2 linked regions of the Arabidopsis thaliana genome follow. The protein of the gene in region 1 interacts with the protein of each later gene in a pairwise test. Each region holds a gene or a part of one and is shown in the gene's direction. Other genes may lie near its edges. The genes, in order: GASA5 and AT3G44590.

Region 1 (11,991 bases):
AGCAAGAACAAGCCAAACAATTGCTAATACAAAAAACAGATAAACTTACCATAAACAACAGAAATGATGAGCACTGACTTCTAATCCGCTAATCCAACTGTGAACAGAAAGAACAAAGAGCATAATTAATAACTGCAACAAAAACATTAACCACAATCCCAGATGATTCAATCATGCTGCTTAACAACATTGGTATAACATGCAAACTGAACAAAATTTCTAACTAAGAACCCTCAAGGAAATCACATAATTTACTATTTTTTTAAAAACAAAGAAAAGTCAAAGGACAGTGACCAATCTCTGAATAAAATCACGATTATAACTCCAGAAAACAAGGAATCTAACGATAATCAAGCAAATTAGTCTCTAAAAACTCCGAAAAATCAGAGTATAAGATTGCATTGTTGAGGTCTCAAAATCATCTTCCTCGACATTTGGATTTCCGCAATCATCATCTTAATCACTATCAGCATGAGCCAATCGAGAAGAAACAAAACCCTAAACTTACCATTAATTGATTTTCGCAGTACAAATACAAACCCTAGTTCCTCTAAAATCCAGATTCGATTTCCCTCTCTCTCTCTCTCTCTCTCTCTGGCGTGGCCCTAAGTTCGTTTCTCGATAAATCGCTTTTCCTCAAAACACAGAGCCCAGATAATGAGAGCTGCTATTAAATAGCCACCTCAAGGATTCTCTATATCTAGGACCTACACGTAGATACGTACGGACATACGTGCATATACACACGCAATTATTTATAAATTAATTACTAATTTTAGTCTATTAGTATTAAACACAACGCAAGAGTTAAGAGATTTTTACAGTGATTAGTATTTTACCTTTTACCGCCATGAAAGCACTCCTCTCTACTCTGGAAAAATAAGAATTCTGCACTTCTGACAGATAATTATATAAACATAAATATTTAAGTTTTCTTCTTAAGCCTAATTTAGAATTACATTATTAACTTAATTGTTAATTTGGTAATTTCATTGGAAGTTAATTTTAATTGTTTTATCTGTTCCCACTTATCTTTAAGTTAGGAAAACTTGTTAGGCCGTTAACGTTAAAAAATAAAATAATAGACCAAACGAAGAAGAGAATTTCAAAATGGCCATTTCGTCATCCTAAGATTATTTTCGGCCGTTTCAGCCCAAATTCTGTAATTGGAAAACCGTTGGGCTAATGGGCCTTTTATAAAAATTTATGGTCACAGATTTTATGGTGATGTCCATTAATAATTGTCCAGTCCTTTTAAAATTAATCAGATTTTTTTTACATTAAAACTAAAAACACAAATAATATGACAAAACAAAAAATCAATGAAATGGCCCACAAAGATCACATGCTCAACTTCGCCGCATTTTTCGCTTTCTATTACACTTTTTTTTCTTTTTAGTCGCACTTCACAATTAGCTTAATTAATTTCCTAAACTCGCTTATTTTCCCCTTTCTATATACAGATATTATCATTAGTGACATTTTCATTTTCCAAACAGAGCGTTTAGACACTAGTCAACTACACAATATAATTTTCCAATTTTCACTGAGAGAAATGTTTTTTTTTTTTTTTTCCAAGGCAAGATTTTAGTCTTTTGGTTCTCTATACGTGGGTAATTAGTGATTAGTAATTTACACTGTTGAGTCTTTGACATTGTCTAAGAGACAAAAACGACAAGTGTGGTACGTAATTAGAAATTAAAATGACCTACTTCCCCAGAATCACGGCATGAACATTGGCAATACCAAATTTCTTGAATACCATTGAAGGAAATCCACACTAATCATTTTCTCTATAAATATCTTTAATCCGTTTTATTGTTTCTTAAGAATCATTCATTGGCAATCAAGATTTTTTAACCAAAAAAATGGCGAATTGTATCAGAAGAAATGCTCTTTTCTTCTTGACTCTTCTCTTTTTATTGTCAGTCTCCAACCTCGTTCAGGTAAACCACTCAAAACAGATTCAGTTTATTAAAGTCTGATATTGAAGTTTTATATATTACAGGCTGCTCGTGGAGGTAAAAATGACCAAAGGCTATACATTCCTTAAAAATTTAATGGCTATTAGTTTTCTGATATTGAAGTTTTATATATATATGACAGGCTGCTCGTGGTGGTGGCAAACTCAAACCCCAACGTACGGACTCAAAACTTTTGTTGTTTCATATGATCATATTAATTTATTAATCACTAATTATTGATAATGTTGATAAATAAACTTTAAAGTAACAATAATGGTGTTTATTTTGTGAAATGTCAGTTTTCTAGTATACTGTATGCTGTGAATTATAAGCATGAACATAAAGATCTCAATGATTTGTTTTTTGTTTGTTTGTTGTGATATGCTTTTTTGATGGAAACTTCAATTGTAGAGTGCAACTCAAAGTGTAGCTTCCGTTGTTCAGCAACATCACACAAGAAGCCATGCATGTTCTTTTGCCTCAAGTGTTGCAAAAAATGTCTTTGTGTTCCTCCTGGCACTTTCGGCAACAAACAAACTTGTCCATGTTACAACAACTGGAAGACTAAAGAAGGCCGTCCAAAATGTCCTTAAAACTTCTTTTTAGATATATTTGATAATATTCATCTAGTTTTGGATTATCAAACACTTACTACTCTGTTTTAATCTGTTTCTACAAGTTGGCGATTTGTCTCTACACTTTTTTTGTGTCTTTTGCTCTTAACTGTTGTGTTTGTTATACGTGTAAGCCCGCCCAATGTGTCATGGCCGAACTTATTATGGTTACATATTTATGAAATGGGCTTCATTATCAATTGATTTGAGCCTACAAAAATGTAGCCATAAAGCCCATTAAGTTGTAATTGTTAATATTTCAGTCATAAATATGATTTTCTATATCTATGATTTATCTCTAGTGTTGATGATGTTTGTATGTGGAAGTCATGTTCTATTTGCTTCCACGGTTTAAAAACCATCAACTTGCTAAGGTCAAATTCTAATATTACTGTGAAAAACATTATTTACGTGCGTAATTATATGAATTTATGAATAGGTTTTAATTCCATTTTTTCCTAATAGTGTTTTATGTCAAAGAGTATCCCACTAATAAATTTATTGAACCCCATGTGCATATGTACCCAGTCTGGTACGAGTTGGAACATGAGATAAAGTTGTGGCAACTGCCCATGACTCGGTGTAAATGGTATATCACATGAAAAATTATAAGTCCAGATCACAATATGTTTTCTTCAAATAATTCGAAAAATTATCTAATCGATTTCCCTTTAAGCTTGAACTAAATAGTTTATCAGCACTAGTAATTCTTTCATACAAAATCTCTAAGCAAATATATATCTTTCTGGGTCAATGTTGTTTTTTCATATCTAAAATGTTTTTTCTTTCTCCTGTGAAGTAGGGTTATTAGTTAGTGGTTACCAACTTCACATTATAAAACTTCATATCTAATCAAATCGTGAAGTATTTGTCAGTCAATCGTGAGACGATATTCATGACCACTTTTGTCGTTGACTTTGTTTTTGGCTCAAAATTTTGGACGGCGATAAAAAATAAAACTCGTTGACATTGTTTTTTGGCTGAATCGTTGACTAGGATTCTGGGATAAGATGTGTAAAGAAGAAAACAAAAACCAATTTATTCACACGCAATCAACTATATATTTATACAAAAATTAGCAAAAGCAATAGTTTTATAGACATTTTTAAAACTTTGGAAATAAAGAAAAGTAGAAAGAAAGAAAAAAAGAAACTGATAGGTCTCATCTCAATTTGAGGCTCAAGAATTAACGAACAAACTAGAACAAGAACAAAGAAGAAGAAGTAGAAAAAAGGCGGGAAGTGGGGTCGACACTATTCAAGAAATTGCAACTTGACCCCAAACAATATTCAAATCAATCAATTTAGACCCCCAAAAAATCAGTCGGATACAGGATTTGGGGAGCCAGATGAATGAGAAACCTCCTCAATGAGTCTGGTGACTTCAGCCATCGAAGGACGACTATCTGGGAACTGAGCCGTACAGCTCATACCGATCTTCAATAAACGAATGATGTTCTCATTGCCCTCAGGTTGGTACCTTGTGAGCTCGGGATCAAGCACATCGGACGGTGTTTGTTGCTCGGTAACAGATTGGACCCATCTCGGCAAATCTACGCCTTCTTCATTCAACTGCTGATGCGTTGGAGACTTACCTGCAATGTAATGTTCCATGTTAAAACCTAGAAACCACAGCAATTGCAAAAAAAGCAGTTAAAAAGATATATCTATCCTTGATTGTTTGTTACCTGTGAGTAATTCAAGGATTAGGACGCCAAAGCTATAGACATCAGCTTTTTGGGATATTTTGCGAGCATCAGTGATTTCAGGGGCACGGTAGCCATCAATACGGTTAGGTGCAGATGTAGAACTAATGATGGGAGCAAGACCGTAATCAGAGACCTTAGCTTCATAGGAGTCAGATAATAGTATGTTCGAGGACTTAATGTTTCCATGAGAAGTTGTCCCATCACGCGAATGTAGGTAGCTAATCGCTCTTGCAGCTCCTAAGGCTATACCGGCTCTGGTTTCCCAGTTCAACGGAGTTCTCCCGTTTCCTTTGTTCCCTACAAATCCATTAAAAGAGCTTCAAAACCGAGCTTGAAGACACATAAGATAAACTAACTATGAAACAATTCAGTAATCAGTGTCAATTTTAGCCAAACCAGGTCCATCAAGATCACAAACTAGCATCAGCTAAACTAAGAACCCTAAAAATAAACAAATGCACAAATGGAGATTACTATTCTATACCGTGCAATATCGCAGACAAGCTTCCTTTAGACATGTACTCAAAGACAAGAAGCTTCTCGTCACGGCTGAAATAGTAAGCGATCAGAGTCACGAGATTGGCATGACTCATTGATCCCAAAACATGCAATCTCTCTCTGAACTCTTTCTCAGGCACCACAACATCTCTTAACCGTTTCACAGCCACCACTAACCCATGCTCAAAGCTTGCCTTATACGACGACCCAACTGTTCCTTTCCCAAGAACCTCAGCTGAAGCCTTCAACAATCCATCCAAATCGAATTCCCCGAAAGATTTCACGAAAAAGGTCAAATCTTTATTCACCGCACCACTCTCCGACCCCGTAGCCTTAGCCGGCGGGACAACAACCACCGTTTCCTTTGGTATAGCAGCGGAGGAAGTCGCAGCAGCGACAGGAGCTTCAACATTCCTAGATGGAACGTTCTCTTCTTTCTTTCTCTTTCTACAGAGACAGAACAGAATCAAAAGAAGCAGTAACAGACCAACAACACATCCGATCACAATCCCGACAATAGCTCCGGCGGATAACTTGTCGCTATCTTTCTTCTCCGGCGGCGTATTGGGTCCTCCAGCGTCACCACCATTGGGGCTCTCTGCCTCACAAGTGTCTAAAGGCTTCCCACAGAGAGTGTTACCTTCAAAAGCAGTTCGAGGCCAAGACGACAACGAACTCGGAATAGACCCGTTTAACTGATTAGAAGAAACATTGAATTGCTGAAGAGGAAGCGTGATCTCAGGGATCGGACCAGAGAGTTGATTCCTCTCCAAATACAGAGTAACCAACCGGGTCGCAGAATTGACATTATCCGGGATCCGACCCGAGAATTTATTCTCCCCTAGATTGATTCTGATTATGCTCGGAAGCGTGAAGAGAAGCGACGGAATCTCACCGGAAAAGGCATTACCTTGAAGATACAAGTAACGGAGGAGAACAAGGTTGGAGAAATCCGAAGGGATAGGACCAGAGAGAGAATTGAACCGGAGAGAAAGAGTCTTAAGCTGGGTTAGATTACCAATACCACCGATTGGTAAAGAACCGAATAAACCAGATCCGGGTAATCGGAGAGCCGTGACCCGACCCGCATCGCAGTGGACTCCGTGCCAATTACAAGGAGAAGAAGCACTCATGTTCCATAGCAAAGGACGGCCACGGACACTGTTACGAACAGCGAGTAAAGCTCTCCGGTCAGACTCTAGATCTGAAGTCACCGCAGCGAGATAGAAGACAAAGAGGAAGACAACAGAGAGACTTAGCTTACGCTTATACTTCATCTTCTTCTTCTTCTTCAAAAACCGTGTAAATTCTTCGTCTCCTTGGTTCCAAAAATTCAATAAATATATCGACTTTTTCGGATATGGGTTTTTGGAAAATTTATTTCGGCTACGCGTAAACGAGTGTTTGAACAAAGAGACTTTTGTGTTTTTTGGTTTACAAGAGTTTCAGCTCTGTCTTTCTTCTCTCTCTAGAGCCGGCTAAGAGAGAGAAAATGGTCATAATTGCAGAGAAAAAGGAAAAAAAGAAAAGTTACTAATTGGAATATTTCCTTTTTGACAAAAAAGTTAAAAGAGAATCTTATGTATTTAATTTGACAGCTAATTTACAGAAAGATAATTAATTAATTATAAGGTTATGACTTATGAATACTAGTTGTAACAATTTTATCAGAGTCAACTATATTTGCGTTACATAAATGACAATAAATCACTGCAGTAATGTTTTTTGTAGACGTTTAAACGACCTCTGTTTTTCCTTTCTTTTGTATTAGATCAATAAATTAGGTCTAATTAAAAAATTAATGGTCGTTATCGTTTTGTTTCTTTTATGTTTTTTTTTTTTGCAGGTTGAGTGTGACCAAAGACATGCCAGGTCTGTCAAATGTGTCTGAGCTACCGTTGACAAACAAAGATTAGCCTCTCCGACACCGTTTTTATTTCTGATATAAGTTTGTACCATAGACATTTTTTTTTTTTTTTTATGTATTTGTTGTATCAATTTGAAAGGAAGGTAATAGAAATGGTCAACAGAGAACTTAAGAAGTGGTATTCATTTTGAAGATTTCAATTGTTCAATTTTTAAAACTCTTACATCAAATTTATTTTAATAGAAGTGGTTGGTTTCTCGTGACTATTAACAAACATTCTTCCCAACCCGAAACCTAACCTCACCTAACTTTCAAGTTCAAATACAAATAGATGATGACTAATATAAGCTGATTTTCTCCCAACACCTTCTATAATTCACTCTTAACCTCTTCTTCATGGCTATGACCATGTTCGTCCAAATAAGAAACGGCCATAGCTGCGTGAAGAGCAGCCCCAACAGGAAGAGCTTCTTCATCAACAAAGAAGTAAGGCGAGTGAAGCGGCTTACCAGCGCCTAGCGTCTCATTCTTTACCCCCAGCACGAAAATCGCAGCCTTAGTCTTTTGAGTGAAGAAGCTGAAATCCTCTCCTCCCATTGTCACCGGGAAATCATGGAAGTTATTCTTTCCAATCATCGCTTCCGCTACTTTTTTACCGTGCTCGTATAAGCCCTCGTCGTTATTCATTACCGGGTGAAGCGACGGCTTTTTCTCTTCGAAGTTTACTTCTGCTTTGCATCGGTATACCGATGCTTGTGCCTCTGAAATCTGCATCATCATCAAGAAACATTTAAACAGGGTTAGGGACCTACATTATTCGAATAGTAGAACAAGATTGTATAGAAAAATGGTGTAAAAAACAATCTCTTTACCTCTTTGATCCGTCTTTGGATAAATAGAAGCCCATCGTTGCTTAAGCTTCTGAAAGTACCTCCAAATTTCGCACTCTGCGGTATTACGTTTTGAGCATGACCTCCTTCAATATATCCAACTGTAACCACCTGAGAAACATAAAAAAACCAATCTCCGCTGATTTCAGCCAAGATTCTGATTCATCAAACACCAATGCTTTGAAAGTGGAAAGCAAACTTACACCAGCTTCGAGTGGATCCAGTTCCCGCGAAACAATCTGTTGCAAGGCAACAACAGCGGAAGAAGCTGCAAGAACCGGGTCTTTAGAGAAGTGCGGTGTAGCTGCGTGGCTACCTTGACCGTGAACCGTGACTGTAAACAATCCTGCACCTGCAAGAACGGTCCCAGGCCTAGAACCAATACCACCTGATGGGATCGATGGAAAGACATGAACACTGAGTATCCCATCTAAGTCGTCTAGAATCTCGTCTTTTAGCATTTCATAAGCACCTGCATAACCTTCCTCGCCTGGTTGAAACACAAGTTTTACTGTCCCCTGTTGCAAAAAAATTGTGTTTTCGTTCAAAACCCTCATAAGATTCACCAAACTCTCATAAGACACACACACTAACAACTCTAGAAAACACACACACATAACAATTAGCAATCAAAGACATACACACACATATATCTAAGAATCTTAGAAAACACTAACCCACATCGAAATGAGTTTTAATTGCAGGGCACAGACAGAATCATTCAAAATTATACATATAAATTGAGTGAAAGAGAAAAAAGAGAGACCTTGATGAGGTGTTTTGTGGTTTGAAGAAGCTTAGCAGCACCAAGAAGCATAGCAACATGAGTATCATGACCACAAGCATGCATCTTTCCATCTACTTTACTTTTCGATTCCCATTCCACTAATTCCTTTTTTTGTCCCCATTTTTTCAAATTCATTAGTCAAACAAAGCAATCTAAAAATCAGAGTAAAAATCGGAACTTTGATTATTAGATTTCAAACCTGTAACGGAAGTGCGTCCATGTCGGCTCTAAGTCCGAAAACAGGTTTCGAACAGGATCCGATCCAAGCGACGACGCCAGTCTTCGCCACAGGATACTTATACTTCACTCCAAGCGAGTCAAGCTCGTCTCGAACGAGTTGACTCGTTTTGAACTCCTGAAACCCTGTCTCTGGGTTCTCATGAATCTTTCTCCTAATTCCTCTCATCCACTCGAAGAACTCAGGATCCTTGGCTGAATGAAGCATCCCGCGAGCGAGTGACTCGAGACCCGAACCAGAATCGTAGCTCCCAGCTGAAGACAGAGGAGGGAGAAAGAAGAAGGTAACGAAGATGACAAAGAAGCTCCCTGAGAAATCCATTCTGATTTCTTTTGTTTGTCGATGTAAACTGGCAAGTGTCAATGAAAGAAAGGACAACGGTGAATACGATGATGATGAAGGAGAAGGAGTTGGATCACCGATCCATTTTTAATATTTATATAGTACGTAATTTACACACGTTTTTGGAAACTCTTTTAATCGTTTTTAAATACGTATACGCCTCTAATGTGAAATTCATAATTTATGGTTGTAATGTGAAGAAAATAATGAAATACCAAAGATAAAATATGAAAATGATACAATGTAGTATATTTACGGTATAAAAGGAATATTTACTTGAAATGAATTAGTACGTTTAATACACGATTTTACCATTTATGTTAATGAAAATTAACACTTTTAAAATAAAACATGGCATGAATTAGAGTTGTGAGAATCACATGTAGGCCTTTAAGGTTCTTAAATTTTTAATTCCTTATAACATAGGCCCATGTATTTGATTGACATATAGGCCATTGGGTTCTTCGACTTTTAAATTACTTATAACAAAGGCCCACCTATTTGAAGCGCATTGTTAAACATTTTGTTTATATTTTGATTATGATCGAAAATTCTCTAGAACAATTCGTACAAAAGAAGCTGTTTACGAAAGTAGCTGTACATGCGAACATAATCAATAAAAATGTAAATGACTAATGAAACATCAGAATATCCGTACAAAATTGTGACTTTATATTATTTAGTTATAGGTACAAAGTTGTGGAGAGTAAAAAAATAAAAAAGGTAAAAAGTTGTGGAATAGACCTATGAAACAATCACAAACATACAACCAAAATGCAAATTGTAATTACGCAACAGAGGCTTTCTTTTCAAGGAAGTCAAGTGTAAGATTTGCAAATGCCCCAATTATTATTTGAGAGAAAAAGGGATATTGCTAATCACAATTAACGGTCACATTACAATTCCCTTTTTTCTCTGTTATTTCCTCTTCTTTCACAATTAAGTTCTTAACGGTCACATAAATATTTTGTTTTTTATATAATGAGTTTAATTAAGTTGAAGAATCAACTGATAAGGTTGATGATCCGATCCTCAAAAGTATACTAACCACAACACTGTCTACGTTCATGTTAGTACCTACTTCAAAGTCCATGTACGTTGGGACTGGCTGTATCTTCCGCCGAGAGCAGCAGAGAGCGTCATCGCTGTCTTGGAACGAGAGAAAGGTCGAGACTATCTCTAAGGCAACCAAAAGCTTAGCTATGATGAAGACATCTTTCTCTCTCTCTTTGCCTATGAATGGAGAATACAACAAATAATATAAAGTGATGGACATTTCTATGCTTTGCTTCTCTTCTCCAAAGAGAAATAGATGAAAAAGATTGTTGATTTTCGTTTCTCTCGAAGAAGAAGAAAGAAGAAGAAGGTGAATAGAGACTTTTGATTTCTCAAGAATGAACAAGTAGATTGTAGAGTGTTAGTGTTTAGTTCTGTTCTTAGGTTGCAGAGATTGTGTATGTGTGGCGTTTGATGTCTCGTGTTGGAGAGGTGGTCTCGTTTAGAGTGTTAGTGTTTAGTTCTGTTCTTCTGTTGATCTGTGTTTTTTTTAAATGTAAATTACACAAGTATGCAAAACAAATCTCTTCTCAGAAAGGGGCTACTGTTATATCATGAGATTTATAAGACAAAATGTAAAATATCGGAAAAATAAAACAACATAATTTTGGTGTTGAATGAGTTTTTCTTGTCCACACAACGGCAGAAGCAGTAGACGATTGTTCCTTTGTCTCTTGATCACAAACCGATTTCAAAGTGTTCTTCGCATTTTTCTCATCAATGTAAGTGAACCAGCCAGAGAAAGACAAGTATGCACCAATATCATTCCGGCCCCATATTCAGAATAAATTAGAACATCTTTTTCCTTCCGTGTTATGCACTTGTTCTAAAAAAAAAGAATTCCGGCCCATATTCAGAATAAGGAGTCCAGTCCAATAGTCTCAAGTCCAAACCCGACTCGGGTCTGTCCGACCCGGAAAAGAGAACTGATTACAGAATGCGGGTTTTGTCAAGAGAAAGTTGGATGATAAAATTGAGGTGAAATCTAATCTTCAAATGATCATTGGTTAGCTTTTTGTATAACGGATTTTCTGAAATCCTCTTATTTCCCATATCGGACCGTGATTATTGGGTGATTTCGGATGCCTAATTGGGTAATTAATATAATACAGTATAAGATTAGATGCCTCGAATATTCGCTCTGTGCCTAACCACAAAAACCGTAACTTTTGGTTTTCTCTGAAACACATCCCAAAGTAAAGAAAGCATCACTCTTTTCGTCTTCTCTCGAAAATGGCGGACAATGGTAAAGTCACGATCAATCTCTGCAAACCTTATTTGATTTCCCTGTTTCCTCATTTTCTTTCGGGCGACATTGATTTGACGCAGATTCTCTAGATCAGTTTTTGGCTGCCGCCATTGATGCCGCTAAAAAAGCTGGACAGGTCTATCTTTCGATCTCCTTGAGTTTTGATCGATATTTTGGCTAATCGTTATTTAATCTGGCTCCTTTTGGTTTGCGTTCTGCAGATCATTCGTAAAGGGTTTTACGAGACTAAACATGTTGAACACAAAGGCCAGGTTTTTGTTTCTTTCCTCCGCTCAGATAATGTTTCAATCACTCAATAAGTGGGAATGGCTACTTAAGAGTGTCAATTTTTTTTTTGAAATTATCTTCTATGGCTCCTTAAATTGTTGCTTTTAGGTGGATTTGGTGACAGAGACTGATAAAGGATGTGAAGAACTTGTGTTTAATCATCTCAAGCAGCTCTTTCCCAATCACAAGGTGGTGATTATTTCTTCTTTTGAATTCCCATTTTGTTGGCTTCTTCCTCGCGTTGATCATTAGAGTTTTGCTATAATTTATTAGTTCATAGGAGAAGAAACTACAGCTGCATTTGGTGTGACAGAACTAACTGACGAACCAACTTGGATTGTTGATCCTCTTGATGGAACAACCAATTTCGTTCACGGGTATTATCATTATTGATCAATTCCCATTTGAATGACCTGTGTGTTTCATTTGCCCATTTCATCAAAAACAAAAACAAATGCTGTTTTTTTTTTGTAGGTTCCCTTTCGTGTGT
Region 2 (11,862 bases), about 16 Mb from region 1:
TTTTAATAACATAACTATACATTGTACATCCGAACGATTCTAACTAACTCGTCTGTACGTACTGTACACCATTAGACAATTCAAGGACATTTTTGTCTGAATTTGGCTGAATGGCTAAATAGTGGAAGTCTCAGTCCACTTTGCCAAATCCTGCAATATAAACAGGTCAATGGCTACTGTATATAATTTACCCATAAGATCAACGTGTAAGAGGTGAAAAATCTTGCATAACCATGTATAGAGATCGATCAATGCTAATGTAATCCAAACCGATCGAATTTTTGTTAACCGGAACTAAACCGGACTCCACTTAAATTGAACCGGATAACCGAACCGTTTATCACGGGATCGAGTTTCTCTTCGCCATTCAAGGGCTCCACTTCATCTTTTTCGTTTTTGTTCATAAGAACACCAAAATCAGTAAACCCTAACTCTCTCAATTCTTAGTCGTTTTTGTCGAATTTAGTGCCTATTTCAATCGGATTTTTGTCCTCTTTCCATATCTACTGTCTGTTTTCTCGATCTGCAAAGGTATGAGCTCGCTATTCCCTTTTTTGGTTCCGTTTTCAAAAGTGAAAAATCTCTAATTCCTTGAATTTCATGATGTTTATGGGTTATCTGAAGCTAGCTTCTTGTCTACGATAGTTTTAGGAACCTTTTTGAGCCTTTAATTGCTGGATTAAGCCCTAATTTGAGATTTGAAAATTTCCCCTTTGGTAAAAAACAGACATATTCATACACTTTGGAAAAAACGGATTTTAGGGTTTAGAACTTGATTATTCATGATGCATTGTTTAGTTTTAGTAACTAAAATACAATGTTTAAGTTATTTGATTTGTTTTTGAGTGATTTCTTGACTTCACTTTGTCTTTTGCAAAGGTATGGGAAAGACAAACGACGCTGCAGGCACTTCTCGAGCACGCACGAGCACTTCCGGAGCACCGACAAAAGAAGATCCTAACAAGCGTCCTGTTACCGGCATATGAGATAGGGAAGACACAAAGCTACTGGCAGCTTTGAAGCATATTGATGTGCGGCCAACACGAGTCGCTTCCAGACCTTCTCTACATGTGCTTAGCCTGTACGATGATGTTGTAACGGTGTTTCAAACACTTGGTATGGGACGGTATTGGGAAATGGATGAGGATGTATATCCTAAACTTGTGAAGGAGTTCATTGCCACATGTCGCCTCACGTACGCGAATCCAGAGAACCCGAAAGCGAGTAAAGGAAAACTCACATTCTTTCTCAACAAACAGCATTACAGCAAGACATTGTTTGAGATCTGCGACATGTATGGATTTACGAAAGGAGAAGCGGTTGAGTTCCCGAAGTTGTCTCTTGTAGTTGCTGATGACTTTTAGAACACGATAGCTACATGAATATATAAGTCGCGCACAGCGAAGATAACACATATCAGGAGTCCTGTTGTGCGATATGTTGCGAAGCTTCTCGGTAGCGTTCTATACTTCAAACCGGTGATCACTGTTGTGCAAGAGATCGAGTTACCACTGCTTTTCTATGGGGTCAAACATCTACTAGACGCCTACTCCGATATTCCAGCTCCCGACACTAATGTAGCTGCGGTTTTGTGTGACACATTGGTGAAGATGAAGAATAATGTTCCTACATCAGCCGCGAAAAGCATTTTAGCTGGTATCGCAATTACTCCATTGTTCCTTGGCTGCAATCTAGACCTCTCTAGGGCTTTGTCATCCATTAAACGAGAGCGAATGGACTTGATCTACCTGATTCATACCAGTTTCACCAAGCCAAGAAGTCGACTGTACCAATTTCTAGGAAGGGACGGTAACACTTATTTCTGCAGGATATCCAACCAGCATATTATTCACTCCTCTCCGCGACGAACCTAGTGTTCAAACCTAACGAGCAGTACCTTGTTACCTAGTGTTAGACTGTCACTTGTCTACTAATCTAACACGGTCTCAGAAGGGTTAGGAACAAAGTACTGCTCGTTAGGTTCAAACACTAGGTTCGTCGCGGAGAGAAGTGAAGTAATATTCTGGTTGGGTATCGTGCAGAAATAAGTGTTACCTTCCCTGCCCAGAAATTGGTACAGTCAACTTCCTGGCTTGGTGAAACTAGTATGAATCAGGTATGTCAAGTCCATTCGCTCTCGTTTAATGGATGACTCAGCCCTAGAGAGGTCTAGATTGCAGCCGAGGAACAATGGAGAAGTGCAGTACAAGCTAAAATGCTCTGCACGGCTGATGTAGGAACATTATTCTTAATCTTCACCAATGTGTCACACAAAACCGCAGCTACATTAGTGTTGGGAGTTGGAAGATCGAGTAGACGCCTAGTCGATGTTTGACCCCATAGAAAAGTAGTGGTAACTCGGTCTCAGGCACAGCTGTGATCACCGGTTTGAAGTACAGAACGCTACCGAGGAGCTTCAAAAACATATCGCACAATAGGACTCCTAATATATGTTATCTTCGATGTGCGCGACTTATATGTTTCTGTAGCTATCGTGTTCCAAAAGTCATCAGCAACCGCAGGAGACAACTTCGGGAACTCAACCGCTTCTCCTTTCGTAAATCTATACATGTCGCAGATCTCAAACAATGTCTTGCTGTAATGCTGTTTGTTAAGAAAGAATGTGAGTTTTCCTTGACTCGCTTTCGGTTCTCTGGATTCGCGTACGTGAGGCGACACGTGGCAATGAACTCCTTCACAAGTTTAGGATATACATCCTCATCCATTTCCCAATACCGTCCTATACTGAGTGTTTGAAACACCATCACGACATAATCGTACATGCCAAGCACATGTAGAGAAGGTTTGGAAGCGACTCGCGTTGGCCTCACATCAATATGCTTCAAAGCTGCCAGTAGCTTTGTGTCTTCCTTATCCCATATGCCGATAACAGGACGCTTGTTAGGATCTTCTTTTGCCGATGCTCCGGAAGTGCTCGTGCGTGCTCGAGAAGTTCTTGCAGCGTTGTTTGTCTTTCCCATACCTTTTGCAAAAGAGACAAAGTGAAGTCAAGAAATCACTCAAAAATAAATCAAAGAACTTAAACATTGTATTTTAGTTATTAAAACTAAACAATGCATCATGAATAATCAAGTTCTAAGCTCTAAAATCCGTTTTTCTCAAAGTGTATGAACATGTCCGTTTTTTACCAAAGGGGAAATTTTCAGATCTCAAATTAGGCCTTAATCCAGCAATTAAAGGCTTAAAAAGGTTTCCAAAACCATCGTAGACAATAAGCTAGCATCAGATAACCCATAAACATCATGAAAATTCAAGGAATTGGAGATTTATCACTTTTGAAAACAGAACAAAAAAAGGGAATGTCGAGCACATACCTTTGCAGATCCAGAAAACAAACAGTAGATATGGAAAGAGGAAAAGTCTGATTGAAATAGGCACCAAATTTGACAAAAACGACTAAGAATTGAGAGAGTTAGGGTTTAGTGATTTTGGTGTTCTTGATGAACAAAAAACGAAGAAGTTGAAGTGGAGCTCTTGAATGGCGAAGGAAAACTTGATCCGGTGATAAACTGTTCGTCGTTCCGGTTCAATTTAAGTGGAGTTTGGTTCAATTCCGGTTAGCAGAAATCCAATCGGTTTGGATTAATTGAGATCGATCTACTGGTGGGATCGATCGATCCCGTTCTGGCTGATGATGTTGAAGCTCGAAGGAACGACTGGATCGATGATGTTCTAGCAGATGATGTTGACGCATTGGTATCGATCGATCCCCGGCAACGGCGCCAACTTGATTGCTCGAGTAATTGCTCGATAAACTTAACCGCAAGGTAGTATATGCGAGGTCGATCCACAAGGACCAAAGATACTCTAAGGATTTCCGAGACTCGTTCTTAGCTAAAGCAAAAACGTTGTTTGTTTGGTTTTTGAATTATAAATTAAAATGCAAGAAAATAAACGATTAAAATTATGGATTAAAGACATTGGGCGTTAGGGTATTTCAAAAGACAAAGATTAGCATAATAAACAAAATAGAGAATTCAATTATGAAGAATCGTTCTGAAACATAAACATAATTCTAAACTAACTCTCTCTCGAGATACTAGCCACTAAATTTGACTACTCAACTACTAAACTTTCGTTTGTAGTCTCCTAATTGGCATTAATGAGTTGGTTTATTTAGTTCACAATGCGTTCTAACGTCAACTTTCGATGGCTAGAAATACAATGCTCAATTTATATTCGTTTAGGCATTCTATCGAACACTTTTAATGCATAGAAAAACCTAAGTTCTAAAACAAGGTGATCAATCCTATTCTAGCATTAAGAACACATAAATTGAAGAACCTAAAGATTGAGAATTCCCTACGACAGCTTAGTTACTAATTCATTGACTTCCTACTTAGAACCCTAAAACCCAATTGTTACTCAGACATTGCAATAGAAATCAAGCAAAGAGATATGAAAGAAAACATGATTCAAATAGAATAATTAAGAACAGAGTTTAGAAATCTTCTCCAAATTGTCAAGAAGGATGAATCTCTAATCCCCAAAAGTGCTTACAGAAAAGTTTTTAGAAATGTTACTGAAAAAGAAGCGTAAAAAGATAAATTAAGTTCCTGGGGTTTTTTATACCCAAATACAGAAAAAGACATATAAACCCGGTTAAGGAAATTCGGTCTGGTTATCGAGAGTGTTGGATCGATCGATCCCGAGCTGGCGGACATTTTACTTCGGTGGATGAGTGGTGGATAGATCGATCTCCACCTAGGATCGATTGATCCCGAGCTGGCGGATGATTTGTCTTCGACGATGAGTTTTGGATCGATCGATCTAGTGGTGGGATCGATCGATCCAATGTTTCTGACCCCGGTTTCTCGATTCCTGCTATCGTTTCTTGTCCAAATGAGCCCGATAAGTCCCGAAAACATTTGTGTTCCGCTTAAACACCTAAAACCTGCAAATGACTCAAGACACAACCGAAAAGACGCAAAAGACAGACTACGACACGACAAACTACTCAAAACTAAGAGACCTAAGACACCAAAAACGCAACATATCATATAGTTTAGCGTTTAATTTCAGAGTAGTTAAGCTTAAGGTTCATAAGGTTTATCAATTTGTGATTACTTGATGATTTGGTAGAATGTGAATGATTGCGTAGGGTATAAACGTATAGTTTATGGTTTTGATTAAATGATTGATTGCTTGAATGTGAATGCATGAGATATATTTGGATTAGCATTTGTCTTTGAGGAAAGCGTACATAAAGAGCGAAAATTGGCCAATTGATGGGTTGTTGGACATCAAAAATTAAGAAATTACTTGATTGTATATATTTAAATTTCAAAAATATATTCCTTACCAGTATAACAGATATCGTGTTATTAGCATCAATAAATAACCATAAATCAGTTTTTCGCTTATGGAGAAAACTCTAGTGATCGATTAGATCGGTTTCTAAAAAAGTTATAAGTGATCGAGTAATGAACAGTTTAGATGTGTGGCTAAGCAGAACCGTAGCCGAACCGAAGTTTCTAAAAATACATAATAATATACTAAACCAAACCGTATCTAAACCAAAGTTTCTAAAATAATCGAATGGTTAATAAAACCCCTATTCAAACTAACCAAAATCAAAAGGGAACCGAACCAAACAGAACTGTTAATCAAATGATTAATCGGAATATCGAAAAACCTAAAATATTCAAAAACCTAAATGTTCATAATTGAACCCCACAAAAAAAAAAAACAATTGAAGGTAACACCGGAACCGTAGCTAACCGGAAACCGAAGAAAACCCTAACTATATATAATTAACTCATCATCTTCTTCCTTCATTTTCGTTTTCACTTTCTCCGAACAACCAAAAGCTTGTAGCTTCCTGCTCCTCAAATCTTCTTGGTAACTCTTCTTCCAATGTCTCTCAATCGATTCCCTTGTGTTTAATTCTATTTCTGAGTAATTTGATTTGGTTTTGGTTTTGTATTAAAAGCAGAAAAATGAAGGTTGCCGCTGCTTTCCTCCTCGCCGTTTTGGGCGGAAACGCTAATCCTTCTGCTGATAATATCAAAGATATCATCGGAGCTGGTAAATTTCTGTGCTTTTGAATTTGTTTATGAATGTGTTTTGATTTTATTGGATTGTGTTACTGTGATCGGCGAAGTAGTAGCAATGATGATTTGGGAAGATTCTGTATTTGCTTTGTTTTAGCTATAAGAGTTTTAGTTTGATTGTTGAAGAGTATAAGAACAGAAGATAGTTTTGTTCACTGTATATGATTCATTAAAGGACTTTGTTTGTTATGTTTTGTTATGTAGTTGGTGCTGATGTTGATGGAGAGAGCATTGAGCTTCTATTGAAAGAAGTGAGTGGTAAAGACATTGCTGAGCTGATTGCTTCTGGTAGGGAGAAGTTAGCGTCTGTGCCATCTGGTGGTGGTGTGGCTGTTTCAGCTGCTCCATCAAGCGGTGGTGGTGGTGCTGCTGCCCCTGCGGAGAAGAAAGAAGCCAAGAAGGAAGAGAAAGAAGAGTCTGATGATGTAAAGCATTTCTCTCTTTATCATTTTGTTTCCTTATTACTTAGTCTTTGTTATGGTCTTGATATTGGTCTTTATCTGACTCTTTGTTATATCCTTCACCTTTGATGCAGGACATGGGATTCAGTCTCTTCGAGTAAGGTTTTTGTCCCCACGGAAAGGAGTCGAGATTTGATTTTTTGTTCTCTTAGTGGTTCTGGTTTTTGCTTCTTGGATTACGAATTTTACTCCTTAGATAATGAAGCAAGAAGAGTTTTTTCAACTATGTTGCGACCTTGCGGGTTATTCATTTATCGTTTTCCGTTTGATTTACATGTTGAATCTGGTCTAAGCTTGTAATTTACATAGTTTAGTTCATAGTATGTTAGCATATCACAAAATAAGTGCCTAAGAGGGCTAGAATTTGATACACTCATGGAAAAGTTTATCTTTAGTGATCCCAAATAAACAGAAAAATCCAAATCCAAGTGAAATTGAGATTCTATGTTATTAACTTCAAACATTGGTGTTGTCGTGTTGTCGTTTCAGACATAAACCCATGAAGCTTGGATAAATTAGAAGAAAGTAGATCAACTCTATTTCAAGAAAATAAGAGGAATTGAAGTAACATTAGAAGTTGAAGTCTTTTTGTTCACTAAGCATTCTCATAAAATTTGTTTGACAAAAACATAAAATAATGTTTAGTGTCAAGAAGATGATGCCACCAACTTAACCTGATCTGCTCGGGTACAACAAACATATCCCACAGTTCGATCCATCTCCGCAAGAACAACTTCCCAGCATAGAACCAATCACGGGGTTACGGATCAGCATAGATTGTTCACTATCTTTGAGACAGTAGCAAAGATGCTAAGATTTCGGAACGGTGACATTAAGTATCTTCACATCTTGGTAAGGCCTGTCGTTCTTGTCTGTCTTCACTTTCTCTATACCCTGTTCATTTGGTTTTATGGTTAGGCACTAAGTCACACTAAGCCAACAAGTAAAAATATTCTTTTTGGTTTTCAAATCATACCTGAACGACGTCCATTCCCTTCACAACTCTTCCAAAAACAGTGTGCTTATTGTCTAGCCACGGTGTAGCCACTGTTGTGATGAAGAACTGAGACCCATTTGTGTTTGGGCCGGCATTTGCCATAGACAATGTGAACGGCCTGTCATGCCTTAGACTGCAGGCCAAGTAAAAGAACAACGTATCAAACTAAGTTAGATTTCATTTGTTTCTAAACGGATGGCTAAACTCAAAGCAGCCTGTAAGAAATGTTTACCTTTTGTGAAACTCGTCCTCAAATTCTCTGCCCCAAATTGACTGTCCTCCAGTACCATCCCCAAGAGGATCTCCAGTCTGTATCATAAATCCTCTGATAACCCGATGGAAAAGGTGGTTATCGTAATAGCCATTTCTACAGTGTGTTGTGAAATTCTCCACAGTTTTGGGACATTCTTCTGGGTAAAGCTTCATGTGAATGTCACCAAGCGTAGTATGCATTATCTGGATGATTAGGAGTTAAAAAGAGTTATTGTGTTAAGGATCCAAATTACAGTACGTAATGAAAAGTAAAATAGATACCAACATTGTGGGTTATGAAAACATACCACGTTCTCTGGAAGGGATGTTGTGGCTGAGTTTCCAATATCTGAGACAGACATAAGTTCATCAGCAGCAGGCTTCTCGTTAAACACATCTCTCCCTTGGCTTGCATCTTCAGGTTCTTCTGGCTCTCTCCGACTGCAGAAACCAATTTGTTGATAATAAATTCAAAGTAGTTCTCGGGATATCTAGAGAAAACATATGAGGTCTTTCTACAAAGTAGAATCTAAAGGTGCGAAAAAATAATTCTTTCTCCCACAACATAAAGATGAGTCATTCTAGCACAATATGAGTCACGTACCTGAACATATAGATCCTGTGTTTCTTAAAGGCACAGCATAGGATAGTCGGATCAGTCAAAGGCTCCTTGCTTTCATTTACATTTGCTGCAGCTGCAGGAATCTTTCTAACTTTCTTGCCTCCTTGATCACCTTGATATAATGCAACTCTCAGATACCTTTCATTACTCTCCACCTTTCCAAGGATCCTTGCAACTGTGTTGGTGTGTAAATTTATTACCTAGAGAACAAAAAGGTAGACAGAGAAATTAGCAGTTGCTTGTCATGATTCCATTTACTACGCATGGAAGAGTTCTGATACAATCAAATCATAAAAACTGGTCCGCTTTTACATAATGATCTGCTGAAAATACATAGATATTGAGGGTTAGTGATAATGGAGCTCCTCCCACTACCCCTTAGACACCCAAATTTACAAAAAAAATCTCAAGCTTCTTTTATTCTAAATTCACTATATTGGCAGAAAGTATAACCACTTTCATATATGGTACAAAGAAGTAACCACATTATATCTTGGTCATCACCTAAGTAAAGGTGAAAATCCCAGGTCTTTAAGCTCGTTAATTGTATCATGTGCATGTGAGACAGGATACTTATCATGTCTAGACTGTTATGCTAGTCTATGGTAATTTAAAACGAAAACAATAAGTGGATTCCTTACTTTTATTCCAAGAAAAGTGGCGTATATAAGGAAATTAGAGCTTTCATCAAACACAGCATTGGGCTGCGGAGCACTCTCGGTTTTTTCAAGTTCCTTTTCAACTGCCATTCTTCTACCAAAGTCAATAGCTTCAAGCCTGTATAAGGGAGCATCACTCCTCTGCAGATCTTGGGCCACCTAATAGTGGAATGGATCATTAACCATGACAGATTAACGTGAAAACATGTAAGGAAAGAAGCATAGAGTATGTAACCTTACCACAAGTGACTCATCATATACCCGCCTCAGTTTACCAGTTCTAAACCAGAACACACGAATCCTACGATCAGGAGCTGTAATGGAAAACTGTTTACCATCTGGACTCACCTGAAAAGAATTTCACTAAACTTAGAGACCAAATTTGCATTATGATTTTCACCAGACATATCAATTGCTAATAGCTGCATTCTAAGGATGTAAAGAAAAACCAAGGATACTAAATGCCAAATAAGTACCTCAATGGCAGAGATTGTTGTTTTGCACTTTATAATCTCAAAGAGATTTGTATCACTCTTCAGTTTAAAGTTTACCCTACAACAACAAGTAAAAGGTCAACCTGTGAACCATTAATGAAAGCAGCCCATCAACTATACTGAAATTCTAAAGATGGTCAACTAAGAAGTTGGCAACTAAAGTATTTCTACTACAGGCTCCTCTTTGCATCATTCTCAGTAATATGATATTTAACTACATTAGCCACACGCAGAAAAACAGGTATGCTTCTCTTATCCTACACGCTCCAATTTATAGAAAACAAACAGCAATACCGAAATGGAATAATAAAAGCGTTTTTGATAAGAAGTGAGACAAGGACATACTCATCCTCGGGAAACTGTAATGTAGTTGCACTCCAGTACTCAATGATTCCTTTTGTGTCACCAGAGATCATTGTGTCCGAAACAGGATTGTACTTCATGACCTTAATTGGATTCATATGTATCTGGGTATACAAAGATTAAAAAAAACTGTTAGCTTTGATAAAAAATGATGAGTCAAGAAATAACAACAAAAGAAAAAGAGATTGAAACAAACCTCTTTTGAAGCAATGGGTTCGTTGGAACCAGAACGAGGATCATAAATGTGCACAAACAAAGAGTCTCGGTCACTGACAGCAAGTTTAGCTTTGACATCCCCTTGCTTGTAGACCCACTCAACAGCACCAGGAATATATGGCAAACGGATCATGGCCATCATATCGTAGTTGACAACATCATATATTTTAACAGCATGATCATTTGAGATTGTACAGCAAAGCAAACCATCAATGCTAACCTGCATTGCTGAAACGAGTCATTGGTTGATAATAGAACTAGACACAAACAAAAAAATTGCGGAAACCATAACATGTCTAACTATAATTTCCCCGCCAGGTCAACTATCTTCATTCAATAAACAAATAAAAAGCTAATCTTTCAAAACATGGAGCATATGCCTGGATTTGAGGTGACAGTATCTTAAAAACCACTCGCGATACTTACCGCTAGACCTTCAATTGGACCGAGATGGGAGCGGAAATGCTTAGCAAACTCGATACCAACACCCTTTTTCTTCCAAAATTTCAAGTGACCTAGATTATGCAAAATATACATATGTTATGCTTTGCCATTACAAAACCAGAATGAAATCATAAATATCACAAAGATGAGAAACATTACCATCCATACTTCCACTTATAAAGAACTCAGCTGCTGAAACAGCAACATGTGTAACTACATCTCGATGCATATAACTTTTCTCATACCTAGTGAAAAAATATACAAGAGTTACTTTTTCAATACCAATTCACAGATAATAAGCTCATATATACCAACAACAATACTAAACCAATAAGCTCAAATTAAAACCCTAAACCCCAAAACTTGATTCGATTAGGAACAGAGAGGGTTCCAAAGCATAAGACATACTTACATATTAGCAGAAGGAAGCGAATCAAGATAAGCTTGCTCGAATTGAAGCGGACGCTTGCGTTTGCCTCGTGGAGCTGGTCCAGGTCCGACCATCGGCTCCTCTTCTTCTACTACAGGTGGCACCGCAACCACCGCCAATTCTTCAGTCGGAATCGTGGTTCCGCCATTCTTAGATTCTTCCTCCATTGATTTCTACTCACTTCCTCAACTCAAAACTCCTTCGTCGATTGAAAGCAAGGTTTGCTACAACTTCGAATTGTCAGAGAGAGACAGTGAGTGAAATAAATAGAGAAGAGAAGTAGATTCATGAACTAAATATATCTATTGGGCCTTATTTTTAAGCCCATATATAAATTTATGAGCCTGACCCAATTGGGTATTTTGCAGAATTTTCAGCTCCTAATTCATAAAAGTAATAAATCGAGTTTTATCTTGAGAGAGAATAATAAATAAATATATAAATAATTTATATTTTATTATCAAATAATTTTGATTAATTAAATAGACTTTTATTTTATTTTTGATCCAATTTGAATACTCCTTCCGTTTCATAATATAAGTTATTTTAGATCAAATTTTTTGTTTCACAATATAAGTTGTTTTCAAGTTTCAATACAAATTATATATTATTTTAATATTTTATGATTATCTATATTATGCACTCTCTTTTATGATTGGTAGAACTTTTTAAAAGTAAATATTCTTAATTTGTGTGCTTTTAGCTAAAACAACTTATATTGTGAAACAGATGGAGTATTTAAAATAGTGAATTTGTAAAATAATTTTTTTTATTTATGAATTTTGTAATTTTCATAATAAATTTATTTTAGTCACTAATTTTTCAAATAAATTCATATTTAGCATAAATT

What was found.
Region 2: the proteins of GASA5 (region 1) and AT3G44590 interact in a two-hybrid assay, tested with the Arabidopsis thaliana proteins (one large-scale study listed by BioGRID).

What each region holds. Positions count from the first base shown.
Region 1 is NC_003074.8:628,889-640,879, reverse strand, and holds GASA5 (GAST1 protein homolog 5), read left to right. Parts: upstream 1-1,701; 5' UTR 1,702-1,868; coding exon 1,869-1,946; intron 1,947-2,106; coding exon 2,107-2,140; intron 2,141-2,375; coding exon 2,376-2,557; coding exon of another isoform or gene 2,558-2,570; 3' UTR 2,571-2,959; downstream 2,960-11,991. Other genes in the region: AT3G02890 (RING/FYVE/PHD zinc finger superfamily protein), read right to left, coding at 50-52; AT3G02880 (Leucine-rich repeat protein kinase family protein), read right to left, coding at 3,898-4,172, 4,266-4,583, 4,771-6,061; ILR1 (Peptidase M20/M25/M40 family protein), read right to left, coding at 7,021-7,419, 7,524-7,652, 7,745-8,059, 8,308-8,433, 8,528-8,887; VTC4 (Inositol monophosphatase family protein), read left to right, coding at 11,198-11,210, 11,294-11,349, 11,435-11,485, 11,610-11,690, 11,775-11,878, 11,976-11,991. UniProt on the Arabidopsis thaliana protein: Gibberellin-regulated protein that acts as a negative regulator of gibberellin-induced flowering and stem growth. May inhibit flowering and inflorescence growth via a pathway involving GAI and by enhancing FLC expression and repressing FT and LFY.
Region 2 is NC_003074.8:16,158,023-16,169,884, forward strand, and holds AT3G44590 (60S acidic ribosomal protein family), read left to right. Parts: upstream 1-5,686; 5' UTR 5,687-5,862; intron 5,863-5,953; exon of another isoform or gene 5,954-5,956; 5' UTR 5,957-5,960; coding exon 5,961-6,048; intron 6,049-6,278; coding exon 6,279-6,499; intron 6,500-6,609; coding exon 6,610-6,636; 3' UTR 6,637-6,975; downstream 6,976-11,862. Other genes in the region: AT3G44570 (retrotransposon ORF-1 protein), read left to right, coding at 1,119-1,333, 1,421-1,656, 1,731-1,813; AT3G44580 (uncharacterized protein), read right to left, coding at 2,490-2,981; CYP71 (cyclophilin71), read right to left, coding at 7,346-7,429, 7,512-7,665, 7,765-7,988, 8,093-8,225, 8,389-8,606, 9,048-9,224, 9,306-9,413, 9,542-9,617 and 5 more. UniProt on the Arabidopsis thaliana protein: Plays an important role in the elongation step of protein synthesis.